Linked DNA regions of Ovis aries. The protein of the gene in region 2 purifies or fractionates together with the protein of the main gene of each other region. This does not show direct contact. Links are inferred from orthologs where the notes say so. Each region holds a gene or a part of one and is shown on either strand. Other genes may lie near its edges.

Region 1 (4,180 bases), on a different chromosome or scaffold from region 2:
CTTTCCAAACCTATTTTACAAAAAGTCTGCCTGCTTTCTCAAAATCACTTTTTTTTCCTAACACTGTAAACCAAGGTAACTTTGACATATCCATATTTTATGTGAGGACTCACAGAACTATGATTACATTTTCCTTTTAGATTTATTTCCACTCAGTTAATTTCATTAAGGCAGCCTTCATTTTTTAATAATTTTTTTAAAGAGTATTGATAATGGCTTAACAATCTGTTTAGTACACCCAAGATTTGTACTGGGAGCTTTCAGAAATATTAAAATCAAATAGTTTTACCAGCTTTCATTTGTTAAAGGATAGATGTCTTGAGTTTAACATGTTTTTTGTTTAAAAATAAACAAATACGATGGTAACGATTATACAATAAATGCTAATTTGTTTAAAGTGGAGATGTTTATTCTATAATTCAGGGCAGTGTGTATTATTTATCATCTCCATATTACCAAACTTCGTTTTAAGCCAGCTGTCTAGTGTTTAACCTACTGAGCAAAGGGAGTTACTCTAGTTTCCAATATTGAATATAAATTTTTAAAAGATTCCTGAGATTTCGGATTAAGTTAGATGTATTTTTCTGAGTGACATCTCTAAATGGGTACATTCATTTTGGATAAAAAGTAAACAAGGCCTTTGGTGTTTGAGAAGAAGAAAAACACGAGGAGGGGAAAAGGAAATATTTTTCAATTCATAAAACATCAGGGAAATGTGTGGAGGACCCATAGAGAAACGAACCCAAACTGCAATATTACAAATACATGTATCCTTTTGAGAAATACCACCGGGCAGTAGAAACCTTTTCTAAGTGCCTTTGCTTTTTAGGAACGTCCATCAGCAAGGTCTCTTCCACAATCCTGGCAGAGGCCTGTTCATCCATTTCCACTGTTGAAGTTGGGACAGTGTCTGAGAAACCGCAGGCACCTGCGGCTCTGAGCGAACTGGCGAGGAACACAGGGAAGGGCGTCCCTTCTCTCATTTTCCGTCTCCAGCTTCCAGAATTTTCTGACAGGAGCTCGAAAATCTTTTTTCTCGTGTCTCAGAAAAAAGCTACTTCGGGGACGGGTCTGCAATGACGCTCCGCAAAGGTGTGCGTCTCAGAAGAGGGGATGACAGCTCGCTGGCGGAGACGAGCCACCTCCTCTCTTCAAGCCTCTGTAGAGGACGACTATCCGAGGAACCAGTTCGGACGCCAAACGCTGCGACGGTCCCACAACCCCGCGTCACACCGCAGAGCGCCCGTAGCCCGCGCCTCAGCCGGAAGTGGGCGTGGCCTCGGGCCGGCTAGGCGAAGCCAGGCGCGGCGTGGGGAGGTGGGGTTCCTCCCGGGCCCGGCCCGCAGCCGCGCGTTTCCGGCGCGCTCCCCCGCGTCTCGCGTCCTGTGGTCTCGCCCGTACCCCGCTGCCATGTTGGATTGTGAGGCCGTTGCCGCCGCCGCCGCCGCCGCCGCCACTGCCGCCGAAGGAAGGTTGGGGGAGGAGTTGGGAGTTTAGCGCAGTCGCCGGAGTGCGAGGACAACGACCATCCGGCCAGAGCCTACCCCGGCGGGAACGGGGAGCTTCCCTTTCTCACAGCGGCCCGCCGTCGGCTCCTCCTTCCGTGGCCTCCTCCCTGCGCCGGAGGAGCTGCGAGATGCTACGCCTCTGATTCCCCTCCTCCCGCCCCTGTCACCCAGAAGGGGAACGAGCGCTCGCCCACTCGCCCGAGGAGACGGCCCTGGCCTCCCTACCCCGCCGGCGAAACCATGAGCTCCGGCCAGCAGCAGCCGCCGCCGCCGCGGAGGGTCACCAACGTGGGGTCCCTGCTGCTCACCCCTCAGGAGAACGAGTCCCTCTTCACCTTCCTCGGCAAGAAATGTGTGGTCAGTGTGTGAGACCCGCATCGCCGCCCCCGACCTTAGCCTCCCGGGCCCGGGAGGGAGCGCCGGGAGGTGGGAGTGGGGAAGGAGGCGGGAGCGGCGCGGGGAGAATCGGACTGCTGGCCAGGCCTTTCTCTGACCCGGCTCCCTGGGTGCGGGCAGTGCGGGCCGGAGGCCGCCTCTCGGACCTGCCCAGGGAGCAGGGAAGTGTCAGGTCCGCAGGCCTGTTCTGGAGCCCTGCTCGCTCGGACCCGGGTCCGTGCCTCTGCTGCTGGTTCAGACTTTACTGTCAGGCCTCGCGGGGATATTTTTATAGGAGCTGCCTGATCGTAGTAACTGGGCTCCTGGACTGGCTCTCGCTTCTCCTCCTACGACCCCGATGTGGGGGTACTTTCCTTCACAATGCCATTGGTTTCAGGAGTGGGTGTGGGTCGGGGACCGAAACTCAGATATGAATGAATCGGGCCGTAAGGTCGTCTTTTATTCTCCCTTGAGGATCTCAGGAAGGAATGAAGTCGAGTCCATCGGTTTAGAACGGGGGGCAGGTAATGCTGCTGCTCCCCACTGCAGAGAAACGAGGTTTATTTCTCCAGCAGTCTCTCTCAGGCCTGGTTTCTCTCCTCTCCACTGTTTTTGTTGTTGTTTGTTTGCATTGGTCGGAGATGCTGCTCTCCCAGAACCAAGCTCAGGGGAACCGCGATCTCCAGCAGTTCTTGCCTTTTGGGATCTGAGAATGGGTCTTACTTAGGTCGGTGCTGTGCGGCCTGTTCCAACTCCAGATGGCTGGTTGGAGCCAGCAGCTCTGCTGTGGGAAGGGGAATGTGTTGTTGACGGAAGCATTCATTACATTGGCTGCTGGCGCTTCTGGGGGTGGGGAGGTTGTGCTCTGTGGGGTAGGCCTTGTCAGCCTGCATCTTACTGGGGTGGCCGAGTTGAGCTGTGGTTGAGATTGTTGAAACGCTGTTCAGTTCCCTTTCTCCCCTCTTTACTGGTTAACACCTGCAGAGTCTGTGCCACTGGCACCCCGGAACCACCGAGGGAAATGTCAACAGAGCTGTACCTTTTACAGCTTTCCTTCTAATGTTAAATGTGTCACCCAGACTGCACCTGCTTGTTTAAGAAGTTAGGATTAGACAAGTTCTGGGAAGTTACTAGATTAATTGTTAACTTTCTAGGAGTTTACCCATTGTATCCTGTTCCACCTGGTAGGAGATTGAATCATTACGTTACGTGCAGATGTGTTTCGTATTTCAAAAGTTAGACCTGATCAGAATAAAAAAAGGTGCGTTAGAATCAGGATTTGGGAAAACAGCTTTGAAGACAGTCAAGCCCCCTCTTCACTCTCCCCACACAGTTTTTAAACAAACAAGATAACTGAGCCGGTGAGCCCTCTGTCTCACAGCAATTTAGTAATGTAACCGGAACTAGAAAAGCAGGACTCCTCATGCCTGTTGTGTTGTACTTTCCACTACATCATGTTGTTTTAGAAGTTTTTTTCTTACTTGTTATTTATTTAAAAGTAGTGTTAAAGAAATAATCACTTTTTTTTTTCATCAGAAGCTGATACAATTAAGGTGTAAGATTCTTAAAGCAGCCCTAATTTGTGCATATTTTCAATTTAGGAAAATCTCCAGCCATTTGAATGTGACATTATCTGCAAATGAAAAGTTTTTTAAAAAAATTTTCTGGTACACTACTTATGTTATATAATCTGTCTCAGAAAAGGAAGTAATTGTACTATGTGTTACATACCAGACACATTAGGCAGGGAGGGACATTACATTTATACACAAGCATACTGACTAATTGCTCTGCATTTCCTATAATGTTTACTGGTGTCAAAGAAATGACAGACATGTAAGAATACAGCGATAGATAAAGAATGGATTTCTGTCATTTAGAACCACACTGTTGGAGTTACCTGCTCTTGCTGTATGAAATGGTTGCAAAGATTAATATTTGAAGTCTCCAATTATTAGACAGTAAAGAATGAGATCTTAATTTCTGGAACAGTTCCCCCCCCCCCCCTTTGCTGACCATGCAGTATTTTGTACATTATTGAAATATTTTATCTCATTAAAAAAAAAATCATGCAATGAGATTTACAGGTCAGACCAAATTTGTTAAGCAAGAAGTGCATTCAGAGCTTTAAGAATTATCAAGAAAATGAAGCTGGAGTAGTTACAGTCGTAGCTCTCAAGGAGTTTCATTCCTTCTTTCACTCAGCAAAGTAGTATTGAGTAGCAAAGAGTCGGACACAACTGGGCAACTTCACTTCCTTTCTATAGTTCCTTTTGGAGAAGGAAATGGCAACCCAC
Region 2 (3,500 bases):
TATGATGGAAGGAACAGAGGCCTGGGGGTTGGGAACCCTGCTGCCCTGAGTCCCACTGGCTTCAACAATGACCCTGAGCTAGTCTGGTTTCCTCCCAGGCCTCACCCTTCTTCAGGGAATGAGAACAGAGTGCTGGCTTTGGGAAAGTAGCCAGTGCTGGGCTGGAAGGGTGGGAGGTGGTCAGCCCATGAATCTTTGCTGAACCAGTCCTGGCAGGCAGGAGCAGCCACTCAGATCTCCATAGGATCCTGAAATAACCTTTCTGGCCTCTCCCCCAGCCCCTCCTCCCGGGACTCTGAGATACCCTTTCTGGCCTGTCCCCCAGCCCAGTCCCCTAGAACTCTGAGATGCACCTGCCCACAGCCTGCCCGCCAGGCCCACCTACCCACAAACCAGCCGTCGTCACACTGCTGCATAACGTCCACCCGGTCCCCCTCCCGCAGTTCCAGCTCGTCCTCATTCTGGGGCCTGTACTGGTACATCGCCCGGTACCTGCAGGAAACACTGCCATAGCAACCACCAGGACCCTAGCCCCTCCCAAGACCAGGCCTGGATAGTCCCGAACCAAGGTGGACACATTCTTGGAACTTCCCAGGTCCCTCCATGCTCCCATGAGTCCCTGGCCCAGCTCTGGGCATGGCGATTCTTTCTGGCTTCAGTGCCTCTATCTGAGGCATGCTCCCACCTCTCCAAGCCCTACTCACCCACACTCCACCTCCCCTGAGCTCTCAATGCCTTCAAATCTGTGCTCCACTTTGCGCACACACCCATGCTGACCTCAGCCCTGGAAACTCAGTGAGAGACGGAGGGGAGGGGTGCCCAGTGTGGGAGGCTTGTTCTCAGGCCCAGAGCTAGGAGGGACAGGTCAGGAACACTGCAGACAAGTGTCCTCCCACTCCCGCACCCCCCGCCCCACACACACCCCACCAAAATCACCCATAAACACTATGAGGACAAGCACTCCTTAGGAGAAATTTCCCAACTCCATCCTGGGTAGGGAGGGGTAAATTAATGTGTGTTCAGCACTGCCTGCAGGGTAGTCCCCAACGCCGACGAAGCATCCCAGATGGTACTCACGGGGTCCAGTGTATCTCGGAGGTGGTGGAGGACAAGGTCCCCAGGTCCTGGGGATGGCTGGAGCCTCCAGGATGGGACAGAGCTGATCCGGGGGTGCTGAGACTCTGGGTCCATAGGAGGGCAGGCGGGCACAAGCAAGCATGAGGAAGGAGGTGTGAACAGGCCTGCCCCTCTCCCCAGGAACAGCATCCCACACTGCCTCATCTATCTCGCAGTCCCCATAGGACAGGGAGACCTGTCTGACTGTGACCTCACAGGTGCTGGGAAGTCGGGCCCAGGTAGGGGAGGTGGCTGATCTGCACGTGTGCACAGAGCTGGGAGCAGGAGGTGTCCTGGGCATGGGCTCTGTCTCCCCGTAACCATTTGCTGAGTGGGGGATGAACACAAGAGCACATGCCCTTGTCTGTGGTCAATGTCAGCATGACGACCAATGGCCATCATTGCCCATCAGCTACTTCCTACCAACCACCCTCTGCAGTGGGATTCGCTATCCCCATTCTACAAGCGAGGAAACTCAAACCCACAGAGATCTGCCCAAGGTCACACAGCAGGTGAATGGCAGATACCCCGACTCCCAGCACACCCTGTTCCAAGACGCTGATACAGATAAATCCCAAGAGTGGACTCTGGAAGGTCAGGAGGCCTGTGCTGGTTTGGGAGGTCCCACCTAGAGACCCCTGCCTCCCTGGGCTGCAGCTCCAGGGTCTGGGGTCCTCAAGGACTGCAACGCAAGGTTCTCTTCGGTCACCCCACTAGACTATCCTGAGCAGTTGCGGGGGATTCCACAACGCAGAGCCTCCCGGGAATGGGGAATACAGCACAGGGGGCAGGGCTCATTCTCGGGTCTCAGGCAGGTCACCTTACCTGGGTCTGGGGTCTGGACTCCTGGGGAGGGAAGGAGACGCCGGTGCGGCGAGGGGAGGTCTGGCCCCCCCAGTCAGTGGGGTCAGCTGGGCTGCGCGGTGTTAAGGGAGAGCTGGGGTGATGGACCAGGCGGGCGGTGGGCAGGCGGGGAGACGCCGGGAGCTGGGGGCCGTCATCACAGAGCCGGACCCGGGGCTCCCGGGTCACCTGCACATAGCTGGCGGGGAAGATGCCCTGGCGCCCGGTACCCGAGATGCGGCCCTCGTACCAGTGCTCATTCACCTTGCGGATCAGGCAGACACGCTCCCCCTGGTCACAGAGAGGGAGGGTGGTAGTATCTGCAGGGCCCTTGGCTGCCAGGCATAGGCAGGTGCCTACATGGGGCAGAGTCATTGTAACCTAACACCTTGCATGGAGGGGTCAGGCTTGGAGAAGACCAGCTGGTTATATACAGGTCACACAGCTCCATGGCAGGTTGGTAAGGAGCACCGTGCAGGTCTTAGCATCACTGCCATGACTGGGTCCTTTCCTGCCTCCACCTTGAAGGTCATCACCGCATCAAAAACAAACTCCCTGAGGACAGCTGGTGTGTCCCCAAGCCCACATACTGACTACTGTTAGTGGGGCTGTCCTAGGAAGGATGGTCTCCAGCCCCTTCCTGCTCCCACCTCTCTCCATCCAGCCACCTCCTGCCCCCTCTCTCCCTAGGCCAGCTCTTCCAGGGAAACATTCACTAGGTGCATTCACGGCCTTTGCCCTCAAAATAAACCAAGAGAGACCAGTTCCCTTGCTTTCTGGGACATTACTCCATTTTCTTTTTTTTCTTTCTTTTTGAATTTTTTGGCTGCACTGCATTGCACATGGGAACTGAATTCCCTGACCAGGGATGGAACCTCTGTCCCCTGCATTATAAGTGCAGAGCCTTAGTCACTGGACTGTCAGGGAACTCTCAACATTCTTCAAGCTTTCTGAACCATTATCTATAGTAAAAAGAATATGTTGTAATATCAATCCAGCACACCCACACACACACACACACCTGTGTAAGAGTTGGATGAAATACCCTTTCTACATGCAAGGTATTCTAAGACTTCCATTCTATTATTTTAAAAATGCTGATGTGATCCTCACAGCTTACCAACCTGCAACTTGAGAAAAAGCACAACTACTCTAGAGGTTTTGAACATTTTAAAAATGGGCCAGGGACTTCCCTGGTGGTTCAGTAGCTAAGACTCTGCACTCCCAATGCAGGGGGCCCAGGTTCGGTCCCTGGTCTGGGAACGAGATCCCACATGCTGCAATTAAGACCCAGGACAACCAAATAAATTAATTAAAATAAATAAACAAATAAAAATGGGAAGGAGACTTCCTCGATGGTCCAGTGGTTAAGAATCCGCCTACCAACACAGGGGACTCGGTTTAATCCCTGGTCAGGGAACTAAGATCGTACATGCCGTGGGGCAACTAAGGCCCCATGCCACACTAGAGAGCCTGAGCGCCACAACTACTGAGCCCACATGCTCTAGAGCCCACGTGCTGTACAGAAGCCTGCGTGCCAC
Region 3 (4,289 bases), on a different chromosome or scaffold from region 2:
GCTCTGCGGTTTATGTTACACCATGTCATCCCTCACCCCCAAAAGCTCTACATGGCATCTTACCAGGTCAAATGCCATCCTGTTTTTTTCTAAACTATTAACTAAAATTGGGCTTCCCTTGTGGCTCAGTCAGTAAAGAGACCGCCTGCAATGCAGGAGTCCCAGGTCGATCCCTGAGTCGGGAAGATCACCTGGAGGAAGAAATGGCAACCCACTCCAATATTCTTGCTCGGGAAATCCCATGGACAGGGGGAGCCTGGTGGGCTGGTGGGTTACAGTCCATGGGGTCGCAAGAGTCGGACACGACTTAGCGAACAACAACCAAACCAAAATGAACAACTTTCTTTTGAAAAGCTACTACACAGCTCTACACTGTGTTAAAACTAGGGTCTGAAAAGCTGCCCTTGAGAATAAAATCCAAACCTTATTCCATTCTTTCCTTAGAAGTCAGACCAGCTTCCAGAACTTCAGCTCGGAGAAGCCCCACCTTTATCCACCAGGCATGGAAAAGAGAGGGACCTAATTAATGACAATTCATCTATTCCAGAGATTAAAGCTAGCACTGATTCAACACATCCCACCCAGAACTTGAGGCTGCATTCTTTCACCAGCTTCCAGCTTCCTTGATCAATTTCTTCCTTCAAACACAGACAGCTAGACAGACAGCAAGCAATTAAAAAGATACTATGTATAAAATAGGTAAATAACTGGAGAACCTGCTGTGTAACACAGGGAATTCTACACAATGCTTTGTTGTGACCTAAATGGGAAGGAAATGTACAAAAGAGGGGCTATAGGATATACCCTTAGCTGACTCACTCAGTAAAGTGAGAAACTAACAGCAGAAACTACTACATTGCACTCCAATGAAAAAATTAATTTTAAAAAAAGAAAAGAATAAAAAGTTAGCCCAAAGAGATTTCCCTCTGACCTTATTATCCTCATAGCCACATCCAACAGCTCTTCTTAACATCTTCCAAACCATCATCCCAGGAGAGGACTAGGTTGACCAGCATAAATGATCGTAATTGGGGGACAATGCAGATTTGAGAGACGAAAATGCTAGAGTCAGAAACCCACAGTAGAGACAGAGGGCCACCAATGAAACGATCTGCTGTGTAGCCAGCAGTTCGGTCTCTGTATGTCAGCTGCCTTCACTACAAAAAGTTGGTTGAGATGGCCAATATCCAACGGAGCTGTTACCAGGAACAGCTTATAAAATCATCTTAATAACTCAGGCTTTTAACAGCCAAATAAACGGGTCTCATCAGCCTGTGGCCTACAAGCTGTTACAGGCAGTTTGTCAGCCCTCTCCATTCACTTTAAAACAAAGACAAGACACAGAAAAGGTGGCACTTGCTGCTTCCTGGCTCCAAAGGGGTTAAATAAAACAATGGGTCATAATTGGAAACTCCTGGTGCCCAATACTTTGAGCGACTTAACCAGTCCAAGCTGGAGTTTTCTCTCTGGAAAAGTAGGAATCACAGCTCACAGAGTGGTAACAATTAAACGTGACAAAGCAGAGTGCCTGTCACAACAGTAGGTGCCCAACAATTGCGGGCTCTTCCTTCCTCAGAGCTATGCTTTCCTCAGCTTCCCTGTCTAAAAGCCTGGCTTTCCACAATCCCCAAACAGGCCACGCCAAGCCTACCAGTTGTCACCAACTCTCAGTAATACCCACCTACACACACACACACACACACACACACACACACACACACACATACACAGGAATACTCAAGGATTCATCACCCACCATCCAAGGGTACCAGCCACCAGCCTTCCCTCTTCAAACAGCTAGCGCACCCTCAGGGAAAGACCTGAGCCCCAGCAGCTACTACTAAGATTTTCCCATGGTGCAATGCAACTCCCCCCAACTTTTCCCGGCCCAGTTTCCAAAGAAACCTAGCAGGCATTGTGCACAGTCAACCACAAGTCTCGCCGAGCAAAACAGACTTGAGCTCAGAGCAGAGGGAGCTAAGAAAATCAGAAAGTGAAAAGGCACGAGCGGTCCTGAAACCGGGTGCCAGGGACCAAAATTCAGGAGTACCAGCCCTGGCCCGGGTTCTATTCTTTTAGACCTTAACATTGACTGAAGGCTAGCAGAGGTTCTCAAAGGACTGGTGGATGAAGAGTCTTAGAAAAGGGACTGACTAGACATACCTCCGAGGTCGCCCCGCAGGCTGGACCCGGTGGTCTCTAGTGGACCCCGCTGCGTGCCGCGGCACCTGGAGAATGAAGGCCTACAGTGCCGGGCATTGTTCACAGCAAGGGCGGGATTGCAGGAGGTGGGAAGCGGGGGACGGTGGGGGGGTGGTCCACGCACCAGCCCCTCCCCCGGCGGGCTGAAGGAAAGCAAATTTTCCGCGCGGCCAGCGCCAGGTAGATGAATGGCCCTCGCGACCTCCCCTCTCGGAGAACCGGAGAGAGGAGTTGCGGAAGGCGGATGCGAGGGGCCGGGCAGAGGGGTCTGACACTCACCGGCGCCCTCGGCGGGCTGCGGCGGCCCGACGACGCCGTTCAGGTAGAGGATGGGCAGCAGGTGAGGCTGCGTCTTCTCCAGCGCCGCCCGCAGGTCGTGGAAGTGGTCCCGCTCCTTGGCCAGCAGCAGCTTGAGCAGCAGCTCCGCCTTGGCGCCTCCCGCCTCCTCGTCCAGCTGCCGCCGCTCGCCGGGGCTCAGCGCTCCCGCGGCCTCGAGCAGCCCGAGCACGGCCTCCACCTCCGTCATGGCCTGGGCCAGGCTCTGCTGACACTGGGCGAGCAGCTCCCGGCGCTGGGGCTCCATGGTGGCGGCCGCCCCGCCCCGCCCGGCCGGACGGCTCCCGGGCTCCCCGAGGCCGGCGGGCGCGCGCGCGCAGGCGGGGAAGCGGGCGGGCGGGCGGCGTCGGGACCCGGGCGCCTCGGGGCGGCGAGCGCTGGCGGTCGCCCTAGCGCGCCGGGAGCCGCGAGGCCGCGGGGGCCATGCGCCGGGGCCTGGGCGGGCTGGGGGCCCGGGCGGCGAGAGCGCTCAGCAGCGGCCGCCTCCCGGGCTCAGGAGCGCAGCCATGTTGGCGGCGGCGGCGGCGGGACTGGAAGAGGAGGAGGAGGAGGAGGAGACGGAGGAGGAGAAGGAGGAGGCGGAGGTGGGGACGGCGGCCGGGGCGCGCCCCGAGGCCCGGCTCCAGCCGGGCATGCTCCCCCTCCCTCCCCCCCCCTCGGTGCGCGCCGCTCTCTCGCCGGCCCCGCGAGGAAAAACTCGCCCCGAAACGCCGCCCCCCGGACGCAATCACAGCTGCGAGAGGACAAGCGGCGCGGTCGTGCTCGCCAGGCCCCCTCGACGGCTCAGGGCCCGCCCCGGCGCGGCCCGCTCCGTGCGCCCCGGCGCGGCTCACCGGGGCCCCGCGGCCGCCGCCCGCTCCGCCAGGCCCGCGCCCCGCCGCCGCCGGTCTGTCCCTCCGCCCCCCTCTTCTCTCCCCTCCCTTCCCGCGGCCGGCCTTTCAGGAGCCCGGGCGGCCGGCCCCGAGGGGATGGGCGAAGGGGAGGGGTCCCCACCTCCCCGCCCCGAGCCCGCCTGGGAGGCGGGGACACCGCGCGCGCTGGCCCTCCGGGTCTCCGAGGCCCAGGCTCCACCCGCGGTAGAGTTCGCGGAGTTAGGGGCCGGGTGGGAAGCAGCCCGCCCCCTCAGCTAGGCACATGGCCAGCCCCCAAGCTATTGGAGACCCGCTTCAAACAAAGCCCTGCCCCCCGGTCTAGCGTTTTCTAATCTGAAATACTCCACAATCAAGCCTGGAGACAACTGAGGGCATGTCCCCTAAACTTGGCCACCTCCAAATTTAGACCTCCCCCAAATCTGTGAGCTATCCCCACTCACTGTAAGGAGCTCTTATATAGAAAATGATGGTGGTTTAGTCGCTAAGTCGTGTCCGACTCTTGCGACCCCGTGGACTGTAGCTCGCCAGGCTCCTCTGTCCCTGGGATTCTCCAGGCAAGAATACAGTCCCAGGGACAGAGGAGCCTGGCGGGTACTCTTGCCTGGAAAATCCCAGGGACAGAGGAGCCTGGCGGGCTACAGTGCATTGGTAGGCAGATTCTTTACCGACTGAGCTGGGAGGGAAGCCCTATATAGAAAATATCCCAGCGTTATCCCCTGAGACCGAGTTAATCAGGATTTATGCCTCACCCGCATTTTAGATGGTTGGTCCCCAGTGTCTAAAGAAGCGGGATGTTGGAGCAAGAGATGGAGGGATGGGTTGCTGGAAGAACAAGAGAGCGGTGGGGTGTGCTGTGGAGCCACCGCGTCTCTTTGGCAA

Evidence for each region. The genes of interacting proteins can lie anywhere in the genome.
Region 1: the proteins of SORBS3 (region 2) and WASL purify together in Homo sapiens (co-immunoprecipitation; 3 studies listed by BioGRID and IntAct, with this or other methods). This does not show direct contact. The link is inferred for Ovis aries from reciprocal best matches to the Homo sapiens genes SORBS3 and WASL.
Region 3: the proteins of SORBS3 (region 2) and DLG5 purify together in Homo sapiens (co-immunoprecipitation; 3 studies listed by BioGRID and IntAct, with this or other methods). This does not show direct contact. The link is inferred for Ovis aries from reciprocal best matches to the Homo sapiens genes SORBS3 and DLG5.

What each region holds. Positions count from the first base shown.
Region 1 is NC_056057.1:89,673,191-89,677,370, reverse strand, and holds the start of WASL (actin nucleation-promoting factor WASL), read left to right. Parts: upstream 1-1,380; 5' UTR 1,381-1,748; coding exon 1,749-1,865; exon of another isoform or gene 1,866-4,180. UniProt on the Homo sapiens protein: Regulates actin polymerization by stimulating the actin-nucleating activity of the Arp2/3 complex. Involved in various processes, such as mitosis and cytokinesis, via its role in the regulation of actin polymerization.
Region 2 is NC_056055.1:43,071,711-43,075,210, forward strand, and holds part of SORBS3 (vinexin), read right to left. Parts: intron 2,251-3,500; coding exon 1,942-2,250; intron 1,182-1,941; coding exon 1,078-1,181; intron 493-1,077; coding exon 231-492; 3' UTR 1-230. UniProt on the Homo sapiens protein: Vinexin alpha isoform promotes up-regulation of actin stress fiber formation. Vinexin beta isoform plays a role in cell spreading and enhances the activation of JNK/SAPK in response to EGF stimulation by using its third SH3 domain.
Region 3 is NC_056078.1:32,821,739-32,826,027, forward strand, and holds the start of DLG5 (disks large homolog 5), read right to left. Parts: upstream 2,801-4,289; 5' UTR 2,786-2,800; coding exon 2,164-2,785; intron 1-2,163. UniProt on the Homo sapiens protein: Acts as a regulator of the Hippo signaling pathway.